3 linked regions of the Callithrix jacchus genome follow. The protein of the gene in region 1 interacts with the protein of each later gene in a biochemical or structural test. Links are inferred from orthologs where the notes say so. Each region holds a gene or a part of one and is shown in the gene's direction. Other genes may lie near its edges.

What was found.
Region 2: the proteins of NFYA (region 1) and ZHX1 form a complex in vitro, tested with the Homo sapiens proteins (2 studies listed by BioGRID). The link is inferred for Callithrix jacchus from reciprocal best matches to the Homo sapiens genes NFYA and ZHX1.
Region 3: the proteins of NFYA (region 1) and SP1 form a complex in vitro, tested with the Homo sapiens proteins (2 studies listed by BioGRID). The link is inferred for Callithrix jacchus from reciprocal best matches to the Homo sapiens genes NFYA and SP1.

What each region holds. Positions count from the first base shown.
Region 1 is NC_133505.1:49,571,575-49,575,124, forward strand, and holds part of NFYA (nuclear transcription factor Y subunit alpha), read left to right. Parts: intron 1-759; coding exon 760-906; intron 907-3,550. UniProt on the Homo sapiens protein: Component of the sequence-specific heterotrimeric transcription factor (NF-Y) which specifically recognizes a 5'-CCAAT-3' box motif found in the promoters of its target genes.
Region 2 is NC_133517.1:74,097,235-74,101,458, forward strand, and holds the start of ZHX1 (zinc fingers and homeoboxes protein 1), read left to right. Parts: upstream 1-1,424; 5' UTR 1,425-1,786; intron 1,787-1,951; exon of another isoform or gene 1,952-2,030; intron 2,031-2,531; exon of another isoform or gene 2,532-2,687; intron 2,688-2,821; exon of another isoform or gene 2,822-2,947; intron 2,948-3,646; exon of another isoform or gene 3,647-3,694; intron 3,695-4,224. UniProt on the Homo sapiens protein: Acts as a transcriptional repressor. Increases DNMT3B-mediated repressive transcriptional activity when DNMT3B is tethered to DNA. May link molecule between DNMT3B and other co-repressor proteins.
Region 3 is NC_133510.1:66,168,782-66,172,944, reverse strand, and holds the start of SP1 (transcription factor Sp1), read left to right. Parts: upstream 1-1,363; 5' UTR 1,364-1,397; coding exon of another isoform or gene 1,398-1,404; 5' UTR 1,405-1,591; coding exon 1,592-1,775; intron 1,776-1,847; exon of another isoform or gene 1,848-2,293; intron 2,294-2,762; coding exon 2,763-2,914; intron 2,915-3,213; coding exon 3,214-4,163. UniProt on the Homo sapiens protein: Transcription factor that can activate or repress transcription in response to physiological and pathological stimuli.

The sequences.
Region 1 (3,550 bases):
GCTTCTGATAAAGCTAAAATAACCATGTGGATATAACAGAGGCCAGTGTGAGGAATTCCACCATAGAGACTACAAACTGACCAGAAAATATTTTTAGGAAATCTTTAGTAGTGGGCTCTTTCAACAACAAACCTATCTAGAATTAACAGAGTAAAATGAGCAGGGTAAAGGTATACGTTAGACATTTCGTTTTAGCTTGAGAGACTATAGGGAGAAAAGGGTCATCCTCTACATTAGCTTCCTTACAGAGCTGCTTGCTGTCCAGCCTCTTAGAGTCATTGCTGGGTAGAGTTTGATTTACTTCCTTCACATTATTTAAAATTTGTACTCAACCACCATCACCACCATCACCTCTCCCTCTCATTCCCTCCTCTCCCAGCCTTCACTAGAGACCATTTCTGGATTGGTTTAAACAGGCAACTAACCTTGCCATTATGATTAAATGTTTGTCAGTGACAAATGTTTATATCTATTGAGACTTCTCAAAGTTCAGTGACAAATGCCTTATATCTATTGAGACTTCTCAGAGACTCTGGATATACTCTATTATGTCTGACCTTAAAGTATTGAAATTGGCATGTAGTAACAGATATCATAGATACTTAAAAATAACTTAAGGACTTAAGACATACTTTCTTAGTGTCTTTTCTATCTTTTCCTTCTCTAGCAAGGCAGAAGAATAGTTCCAGTGATTTTCTTTTGGTAAAAACCAATTTGTATCTTATGTTATTTCATTGTTCTTATTTTATTTCATTCTAGGTCCAAGGGCAGCCATTAATGGTGCAGGTCAGTGGAGGCCAGCTAATCACATCAACTGGCCAACCCATCATGGTCCAGGCTGTCCCTGGTGGACAAGGTCAAACCATCATGCAAGTACCTGTTTCTGGAACACAGGGTTTGCAACAGGTGAGTAGTATTAAAAAATGTTGAGTACTATATCAGATGAGACGTTTCAAAGAATAGATTGTTACAAACTGATCATTGATGTTGCATTTAACTGCTTCCTGACCCACATTTTGCATTTAGTTGATTTTCTGCTTTTGTAGTTAGTACCAGTGATACAAACTAGAACTATGCAGAAATTGGACAGCTCCAGTAAAGATTAAGATATTAGGCATGAGCTTGAATTGCTATAAAGTATGTAAAGAGGTTAGAATCTAGTTTATAGTATATTTTATTTTAAAAGAAGCAAAAATGAATATTCTTAGAAAGTTAGAAAAATAACAAAATAAGCAAAAATGTGTCAATTAAGTAGAAAACTGACATATAGAAAGGGTAAGTAAAATCTAGATTGTTTAAACAGACCAATAAAACAGGTAAATCCAGTTGAAAGACGGATTGAGAAACACAAAACAAAAGTAAGCAAAGATGTAGAAGAGATTAAAGGAAGGTCAGGCGGGGTGGCTCATGCCTGTAATCCCAGCGATTGGGGAGGCCAAGGCAGGTGGATCACTTGAGACCAGGAGTTCAAGACCAGCCTGGCCAACAGGACAAAATCCCATCTCTACTAAAAATACAAAAAACTGGTGTGGTGGCACGTACCTGTAATCCCAGCTACTCGGGAGGTAGAAGCATGAGATTTCTTGAACCTGGGAGGTGGAGGTTGCAGTAAACCAAGATTGTGCCACTGCACTCCAGCCTGGGCACCAGAGGAAGATTCTGTCTCAAAAAAAAAAAAGAAGAGATTAAAGGAAATATGTGGAAGTGTTACATACAACACTGTGGCATCAAATTTTAAAAATTAGATATATCTCATCAGGATGGCAAGAACCAAAAAGAGTCACTATATCCACTGCTAGGATGGATGTAGAGAAAAAGAATTAATCATTATTTTTGGTAATTTCAAACGGTGAAGTTATTTGGGAAAGGCATCTCACTATCTGTTAAATACAATGAACACTTGAGCTAGCAGTTACACTTCTGAGAATCCTATAGGAAGAAAAGCATCAGTACTAGGGAGACATTACAAAGACACTTGTCATAGCATTGTACTAGCAAAAAATAAAATTGTAATCTGAGTGTCCATTAATAGAATAAGGAAATGGTTGGAATAAATCTTAATATATTCCCATATGGACTACTGCATCATCATTAAAGGAAATGAACTATGGGCTGGGCGCAGTAGCTCATGCCTGTAATCCTAGCACTTTGGGAGGCTGAGGCAGGTGGATCACCTGAGGTCAGGAGTTCGAGACCAGCCTGACCAACATGGAGAAACTGCATCTCTACTAAAAAATAATTAGCTGGGTATGGTGGAGCATGCCTGTAATCCCAGCTACTCGGGAGGCTGAGGCAGGAGAATCACTTGAACTCGGGAGGCAGAGGTTGTGGTGAGATTGTGCCATTGCATTCCAGCCTGGGCAATAAGAACAAAACTCCATCTCAAAAAAAAAAAAAAAATGAAATGAACTATTGAAGTGGGTGGGTTAATATTGAAATATTTTTAGTGAAAATAATTTGCAGAGAAATAGTGTGTGATCTCATCTTTGTAATTCATAACCAAACCCCCATGAGTATATGTTTATAGACATGGAAAAGGGAGTATGAGGGAGAACTATTAGCTTTTTACTCTACGTAAATCTTTATCTTGTTTCAACAGTTATCGCAACCACATTAACGTCTTAATTTTCTGGAGGAATTTCAGTTGAAAAAAGCAACCATGATCACACTGCTTATAAATCAAACTTGTGCTTTTTACGTATTCTCTTGTGTTTTTATCATAATTTTTTGGCATAATTGTACCATGCATGCGAGGTTGTTTCATTGTTGTTATTGTTGGTTTTTTTTTAATTCTTTCATAATGTTCAGTCAATTTGATGAATCAGAATTTCTAATTTATAAAATATAGTTAAGGATTTTGGTTTTCATTTGCTTTTGTTGGTAAACATACTTGGGCATGATAGTTTTATTTTTCAATTGAATTCTCAGGGTAATTTCTTTGGATTGGGGATTGCTTGGCAAAGGGTAAGAGCATATTTGAGCCCATTGGCATATTTTTGCCAAGATAGAATTATAGTTGGGATTAAAAATAGTTTTTCCATTTCTCCATGCATGAATATATGAGGCTTTAAATATCTTCTTAGCATGTGCTTTCCTCAATTTCCCATTGCTACATCCTTTCTGTTCCTCTGTCTTTGCTTCTGTTCTTCTCTCCAGCCCTGCTTGCTGTGCCGCCTTCTCCACTGTTCAGTAGAGACAATGTGGTATAGTTAGAAATAGTATACTGTGAGTGTAGTGATCCAGCTTTCATCACCAGGTCTGCCATTAAACAAGCATTCTAATCTTGGCCAAGTTATTTAATTATCTGTTTGCTCATCCAAAAATAAAATTTATATGAGATGACATCTAGGGTTCATTCTAGCTCTAAATTCTGTGATTTTTATAGGGTTTTATTTTGCTATAAGGAACCTTGAAAGAGTTGTTTATTTCCCTGCTTCCAAGTAGGGCTATAACTAACTGGGCAGAAAAATATATATTCTGTTACATAAATAAAGCTCTAGGTGAGATTCCATAGCCTACCTTATAATGCTTTATGTATAAGAGGTTTTTT
Region 2 (4,224 bases), on another chromosome or scaffold:
GTGGAGTTACAGTCAACAGCTCCATGTCCCTAAAGGGGTCTCTTCTCACCTTTCACTTTGGGACTTTTTTTATTTTTATTTTTTTGAGATGGAGTCTCACTCTGTCACCTGGGCTGGAGTCCAGTAATTCAATCTCAGCTCACTGCAACCTCTGCCTCTGGGTTTAAGCAATTTTCCTGCCTCAGCCTTCCCAAGGAGCTGGGATTACAGGTGCAGGTGGCTATGCCTGGCTGATTTTTTTTTTTTCATTTTGGTAGAGATGGGGTTTCACTGTGTTGCCCAGGCTGGTCTCGAACTCCTGAGCTCAGGCAATTCGCCCACCTCGACCTCCCAAAGTGCTAGGATTGCAGGCGTGAGCCACCACGCCTGGCCCACTTTGAGACATTTTTATGCTCCTGTTTTTTGCTTGGCTAGTAGACCACATGTTCCTGGAAGACAGGAATGTTGCCTAAGTCAGCTGTACATACCCACAGTGCCTGGTATATACCGGCACACACACAAACTAGTCACTAAATGTGTAGACAAAAGAATGAATCTATCTGAAGCATTTCCTGAAGAGGTTCCCAGTGAGGGCAGTACTGCCCCTTGGGGGCATATTGAAATTTTGCGGGGGCAGTTTTTGTTTTGCAATTCTATTGTCAGAGTATTTGCATTGTGAAAACTGTTATTTTAAATTTTTTCTTGATATTAGTACATACAGTATTTTATTATAAACGACTTTCTCTTTTTTCACCTTTATTAGAACATCACATTAGTTTCTTGAAATTATTTATAGAGGTATTTGCATTAGGAATTTAACTCCACAAGAGTAAAGCAGTGTTATAATTTTTCTTGTCAATACAGGGCATTGAATGTGGCAGGGTTGAACACCTTTACTTATAAGATCATTAAGCTTCATTGTACATACGTTTTAGGATTCTAAGATGAAATATACAAATAAAAAGAACATTATAGAACCCTGATTTCAACAACTGGATCCTATGGCCGGGCGTGGTGGCTCACGCCTGTAATCCCAGCACTTTGGGAGGCTGAGGCCGGTAGATCACTTGAGGTCAGGAGTTCGAGACCAGCCTGGCCAACATGGTGAAACACTCTCTCTATTAAAAATACAAAAAAATAGCCCCGCGTGGTGGCGGGCGCCTATAATCCCAGCTACTTGGGAGGCTGAGGCAGGAGAATGGCTTGAACCCAGGAGGCGGAGGTTGCAGTGAGCTGAGATCGCGCCTCCATTGCACTCCAGCCTGGGCGACATCGTGAGACTCCGTTTCAAAAAAAAAAAAAAAAATCAGACTTCCACTTGAAGCAACTCCATCTTTTAGGATTAATGTGGCTCAGCGGAGCTCTGCTGTCAAAGCACAAAGGGTCCCCGACTGGGATGGGGGCGGGGAGTGAAAGTCAAGGCGCCCAGGAGCTCTCGAGAGTCTAGGGACCGGCGTGTGGAGCCGCTGGAGGGTGGGTCGCTGCTCTCGGCTTTGGTTATGTCCCTCTGCGTTGTGACGGCAGTGTGGGCTGAAAGGAAAAGGAGGTGGCGAGGGGCGGCGACGCCAAGCGGTGTTTCCGAAAGCCCGGGACCTCGCTGGCCCGGCTGCGGGGCTGGTTCCCTGGAAGCCGTCGGTATGTGAAGCCCTCGACTCGGAAAGAAGCCTCCGGAAGAGAGAGTAGCTGTTAGCGGAGAGGAGGGCGTCTGAGGGGCAGAGAGTGGCTCCGCCTGAGCCGGCGGTTGCGAGTGCAGTTGAACTGAACTTTTGGTGTCTGCGGGTGGAGCTGCTGCCCGCAGAGGAGAGAGGTACGTAGCGAAAAGAGGTGGAGCTGCCGCTGACACGGGGCGCGGCGACTTCTGACAAGGCGCGCGGCTCGGGGCTGGACTCGCAGCTGCCTCCTAAGGGCGGGGCTTCCGCCCAAAGGGGCGGGGCCTGGGTCGTGTAGCCCCGGGGGATGGGCGTGTGATGATAAGGGGCGTTTCAGTGGAAGGCAGCATGCTTACCTCTCACAATCCAGCAGTAACATTAGGAAGGCGGAGCGCAAAGAAGGCAAGCTGCCTTCTGTGTAGACCAGAGAGAAGACCAGGCTTCTGTCGACAGCGGGCGGAGCGGTAGCCGGCAAGGGGCGGGGCCATTTAGAGCCCTGGGAAGGCGGAGCTTCTCCTGACAGGGGGCGGAGCCTCCTCAGCCCAGGGCGGGGCTTCGTTGACAGGGGGGCGGGGCGGTTCCTACCTCCCGCGGTGCGCCAATCCCCGGGGTAGGGGTCGGGGTCAGACCCCAGTGGAACAGCAGGGTCTGGGATTGGGGAGGCCGGCGCCGTACGGGGTGGGGGCGCGTGGAGGACGCGCACGGTGGAGGGCCCTGCCTCGGCCGGCTCTCTTCTCTCCCCCTCCGCCCCCGGACGGCCGTTGGGGCGCGCGCCTCTCCTCGCACCCCCACCCTGGGTCCCCACGCTCCGCGGGCCACGGACCTGCTGAGGCCCCTTTTCGGGCCCGCCGAGCGGTTCCGGGTTTAGGGTTCACAGGTCAGAGTTGACTCCCTGAAAAGTGCAGCCGGTTTGAAATGCAAGATGGCGGCGGCGTGGCGCTGAGAGGCGCGGCGGCCCCTGCAGGTAGTGGCGCGAGCCGGCTCCGCGACCAGCGGGCCCGGAGACTCCGGGCTGCGGGTGGGAACCGGAGTTCAGAGTCCGCGGCCGGCACGGGAAAGGCGAGTGGCGGGGGGCCCGGCGTGGGGAGGGCGGCCTCAAAGCAGAGACCCCCGGGGCTGAGCCCGCTCGCTGCGGCGGGTGGCGGGGCGGACCCGGCGCGGGGCATCTGAGGGGGAGGGACGGGGCCTGCCTCGCGGTTGGGCAGTCGCCGCAGAGGAACTGACCCACAGCCTCCCTCACTCTTTCTGAATGTCTCCGCCGCCGAAAGAGCTTGGGGGCGGGGGTTTCTCTTGAGGGAAAATTTTAGCCCTCTGCCTTGGTGAGGACTGAGTAACTTAGGATTGTTGAGGGGAGTGAAGACTGCGGAGGGCGCCGCGGGAGGGAGCACCCCAGTGATGTTGGGAGTCCTAGGGGAGGTCTGGAGCGCTGTCCTCCGGGGGAGTGTGGCGGCCTCGTGGGGACTCAGTCTCCCTGAGAGTAAGGAGAAATTCTCTTACTGGAGCTGAGCGCACTGACTGAGGTTGGAGCCCCAGCAAACCCTTCGGGAGAAGTCTATACCTCCAGTTCAAGGAAGACTGTACGCACCCGTTTCGGGGCCAGGCCGTGCCCCAACTTTGGGAAAGGCTGGGAGTTGAGCCCTTAACCCAATTACGATTGTGAGGAAGCCCTGGGATTTAGGCAGAAGTTAATTAAAGAGGATGGTAGGGGCGCGGAAGTGTGGGGAGGCTGACCCAGGGGAATCCTCCAAGCCTCAGGGCTCACAGTGAACGATCTACTAATTCCTCAAGGGAAATAAAGGGCTGGGAAGGAGGTGTGAGAGGAACGAGGTCTAAGGGCAGGAAAGAAGAGCCCTGGCAGATGTCTTTTCCTTATATTTTTACACCAAAGTTGGAAGTAAAGGGACTTGGCAATTCTTTGTTTTAGTACCTTTCCTGTCCTTCTTTCCCCTCTGTGAGTAACTAAGGAAAGAGCATAGCCCCTGAGAAGGAAAATATTCCATTTGATATCCTCAACTTAGGTTAGTGAAGGATTCAGCAGCTGAGAAGTCGTCAATGAGAGACAGCAGGTAGGGAAATTAGTACAGGGACTAGGGATCAGAAAAGAGGATACAGGGACGATATCCGACAGCAGGAATTCCACAGCTCTTTTCTGTCAACTCAGCCCAGCTATTAAAAAAAATGTGAAGAGCTAATTTTTGAGAGAAAATGTAAGAAAAGGCTGAGAGAGTTGTGATGTGTTTAGGTTGGGAGTCCATGTAACTTAAAAGAAACAATTCTCTTGGAGGTTAATGTGATAGCAGAGAAAGGAAAAATCACAAAATTGGAAAATATACAGCGGTTCACGGTTAGGGAAGAAGCAGCAGTTTCCCCCCAGGGAACAGTGAATATTTGATTTGGGCTGTGTGTGTGTGTTCATATATAAGAGCTCTTTAGATTTGTTAGTATTGGTCATTGTGTCTCAATCTTCGTCTGAAAGCTTTGATTTGTGTTATATGGTGCTACATTAATTATCTTTGTTGCTGAAAAATTATTCTGAAAAAGTCATTTGTTTTTCTGTCGGGAGTGAAGACGAGCAGGAGTTGTTTTTAACAGGGAA
Region 3 (4,163 bases), on another chromosome or scaffold:
AACAAGGATACAAGTGGAGGCCGGAAATCCAGGTGCCTGCAGTAAAGTTTCTTAACCTTCGTGATTGCAAAAAGCAGGAGCTCAGCTATCTTGCTTTATGCACAGGCGGTATTTACTATTAAGGGAGAAAAATGGAAGTGACTTATTTGCACCTTAGCCTCAAAGCTCTTGAAAAGTTAACCAGCCGTAAGTGGTTAGAGCCTTTGTCTGGGGGAACTTAATAAAATGGCGTTTTCTCGACTCTTACGGAGACTCTGCATATTGGTCAGCTCAGTATTAACTTATTTGGTGAGCGCTGTTCCCAGATCTCCCGCCTGCACTAGCAAGGCTTGCGGCGAGATGATGCATCTGACTGCCTGTCTGCCCGCCCCGGGAGGGTTTAAGATTTGAGAGGTACGTTATTCATAGGGACAGTTAAATGAAGACTCAAACAAGTCCTGGTGTTGAGGCAGAACTGCGCGCCGATTGCCTTGGCTCCAACGCCTGTTGAGCCGCAGGGCTCCGCTAAAGCGTCCAACTAAATACATGCAACGACGTCCCCCGAAGAGGGCCAATATGGCGACGGTCTCCTCTTGGCACAGCCCTCTTCCCTCCCTCATGATGGGCGGCTCCAGTAACTCCCATTGGCCAACTAGGAGGCGGTGCCAGGCTTACTTCGTCTCCTCATTGGATTGAATAACTGAGGGAGCAGCCAATTCTCCTCTGCCCGCTCCAAGTTTCCGCCCTCAGAGTTAATTCGGCGTTTAATTGGCTTTTAGTTCACGTCAATATGCGTCCTTTCCTGTCTCTTTTCAGTCTTAATCCAATCATAACTTCCCTGGCTGCCCGCCTGATTTCTGATTGGTTTTAATCAGCTTCATCCTATTATATTCCTGCCTACTTCTTACCTCTCCTCCCACTAGGATTTTGCCCAAGCACATCCCGGACTCTGGTTGGCCGTTGTTCTGTCATTCCTATCAAAGTTTTCCCTATCCCTACGTCTCAGGGAGCCCGCCTGCCGGTTGACTGGTTTTTTTTGAAGCCAATCACTTTCAGTTCCCGCCCATCTTCACTTCCTGCATCTTTCATTGGCTTTTAATACTGAGAGGACAGTCTTTTTGGGCGGACACCAGGCACGCAACTTAGTCATACACGCCTTAGAGAGCAAGCTTTTCTTGCCATTGGATTATCTCACCGTCTTTCTTCTGCAAGTCCCTCCTTTCCCCCTCCCTCATTGGGCGGGGCAGCAGCGAAGGGGCGGAGCCTAGGTTGGGCTTGTGGCGCGCTGCTCCCTCCTCCTTACCCCCCCCCTCCCTGTCCGGTCCGGGTTCGCTTGCCTCGTCAGCGTCCGCGTTTTTCCCGGCCCCCCCCAACCCCCCCCGACAGGACCCCCTTGAGCTTGTCCCTCAGCTGCCACCATGAGCGGTAAGGATGAGTCCACTCCAAGCTTAGGGGTGGGAGGGGAATGAGGGGGCGCGCGCGAGGGCCGACCGGGCGATCCCCGCCGGGAGGGGGGGGCGGGCGGGAGGCGGCGGCGGAGGCCTAGGTCCCGCCCGGGGCGGAGGGAAGGGAGGGAGACGGGGCAGTGACGGGGCCTCCGAGGAGGAGGGGGATGGGCCGCCCGCCCCGGGGGAGGGGGCAGCGTGGCCTCGCCCGCCCCCTGCCCGCCCCGGCCACGGGGGACGGGCCTTACCCCCCACTATTCGGCCGACAGCCTAAGGCTCCTCCCGCCGTGGGCTGGAGCCGCGGGGGCGGCCCGAGCAGTGAAGGCCCCGCCCGGGCCAACCGCCGGCCTGGTCCGCCCCTGCTCCAAGGCCCTCCTCCCCCCACTTTCCGTAGATTTCCCTTCGCCTCCCCCCCACCGTCCCGCCCTTTCCACGCCCCTCACCCCGAAACCGCCCTTTCCCTGAGGGCCCGCCCTCCGCCCCGAAACCTCCTGATTACTAATCCGTAGACCCCTTTAGTCCCTTATCAGTATTCACAAATGCTTTCCTACTCACACTTTTTACTTTTTTTTCCCTCCCTTTTCACTCTCCTCTTGTTACTTTTCACACTTGGATTTTTCTTTCTCCATTTCTTTTTCTTTTTTTTTTTTTTGAGTTGGAGTTTTGCTTTTGTTTCCTAGGCTGGAGTGCAATGGTGAGATCTGGGCTCACTGCAACCTCTGCCTCCCAGGTTCAAGTGATTCTCCTGCCTCAGCCTCCCGAGTAGCTGAGATTCCAGGGATACGCCACCACGCCCGGCTAATTTGTGTTTTTAGTAGAGACAGGGTTTCTCCATGTTGGTCAGGCTGGTCTTGAACTCTCGACCTCAGGTGATCTGCCTGCCTTGGCCTCCCAAAGTGCTGGGACTACAGGCGTGAGCCATTGCGCCCGGCCTTTCCATCTCTTTTAACCTTAATTTTAGCAAGCTTTCCATCCACCCACATGTTGTTTTTTGCCTTACCTGTTCTTTTCTTTTGTTTCCCCCAGGATACTTTTTCTCATTTTGAAACTCTTTCAACATGCCTACCATCCTTCACATTTCCTATTCCCAAAGCACTTTTTGAATGTTTTCTTAGTTTAATTTTGTGCAAGGGAGAAGTGAGGCCCACTTTTGGCACCATTGAGCCTATTTCATGTCTTGCATGCCCTGCAGCTCCCCTCTGTCCTCTAATCCATTTTCTTTATACTGGCGCCTTTTGCCTTCCTGTTAGTCATTGCTGTTTCATCATAGCCTCCTTTTATCCTTCCTACTTCTTTTCTTCCCTCCAGTTTAAGTTGCTTGTTTTTTAATACTTTCAGACCAAGATCACTCCATGGATGAAATGACAGCTGTGGTGAAGATTGAGAAAGGAGTTGGTGGCAATAATGGGGGCAATGGTAATGGTGGTGCCTTTTCACAGGCTCGCAGCAGCAGCACAGGCAGTAGCAGCAGCACTGGAGGAGGAGGGCAGGTAAGTGATCATCACAGAGTGGGGAAGGTGTTCAGAGGATGTAAATATTATTAGATAGTTGCCTTACTCTTCACAGAAAGCTTTTTAGGGAGGGACTAAACCAGTTTATAGGTAAGGAAGTAAGCACAGAGATTGGAGATCCCCAAAGACAGGAGTTTCAGCAATACAGATAGGTCAGCTTTTTGTTTCTGCTTTTTGCTCCTTGTCTGCACTACGTTGCTTTTTATTTGTTGTATACTGCCCCCTAGGCTGGCAGCTGGGTGTCACTAACTCCTTTCCTCTCCCTTATTTTCGGCCAGGAGTCCCAGCCATCCCCTTTGGCTCTGCTGGCAGCAACTTGCAGCAGAATTGAGTCACCCAATGAGAACAGCAACAACTCCCAGGGCCCAAGTCAGTCAGGGGGAACAGGTGAGCTTGACCTCACAGCCACACAACTTTCACAGGGTGCCAATGGCTGGCAGATCATCTCTTCCTCCTCTGGGGCTACCCCTACCTCAAAGGAACAGAGTGGCAACAGTACCAATGGCAGCAGTGGCAATGAATCTTCCAAGAATCGCACAGTCTCTGGTGGGCAGTATGTTGTGGCTGCCACTCCCAACTTACAGAACCAGCAAGTTCTGACAGGACTACCTGGAGTGATGCCTAACATTCAGTATCAAGTAATCCCACAGTTCCAGACTGTTGATGGGCAGCAGCTGCAATTTGCTGCCACTGGGACCCAAGTGCAGCAGGATGGTTCTGGTCAAATACAGATCATACCAGGTGCAAACCAACAGATTATCACAAATCGAGGAAGTGGAGGCAACATTATTGCTGCTATGCCAAACCTACTCCAGCAGGCTGTCCCCCTCCAAGGCCTAGCTAATAATGTACTCTCAGGACAGACTCAGTATGTGACCAATGTACCAGTGGCCCTGAATGGGAACATCACCTTGCTACCTGTCAACAGCGTTTCTGCAGCTACCTTGACTCCGAGCTCTCAGGCAGTCACGATCAGCAGCTCTGGGTCCCAGGAGAGTGGCTCACAGCCTGTCACCTCAGGGACTACCATCAGTTCTGCCAGCTTGGTGTCATCACAACCCAGTTCCAGCTCCTTTTTCACCAATGCCAATAGCTACTCAACTACTACTACCACCAGCAACATGGGAATTATGAACTTTGCTCCCAGTGGATCATCAGGGACCAACTCTCAAGGCCAGACACCCCAGAGGGTCAGTGGGCTGCAGGGGTCTGATGCTCTGAACATCCA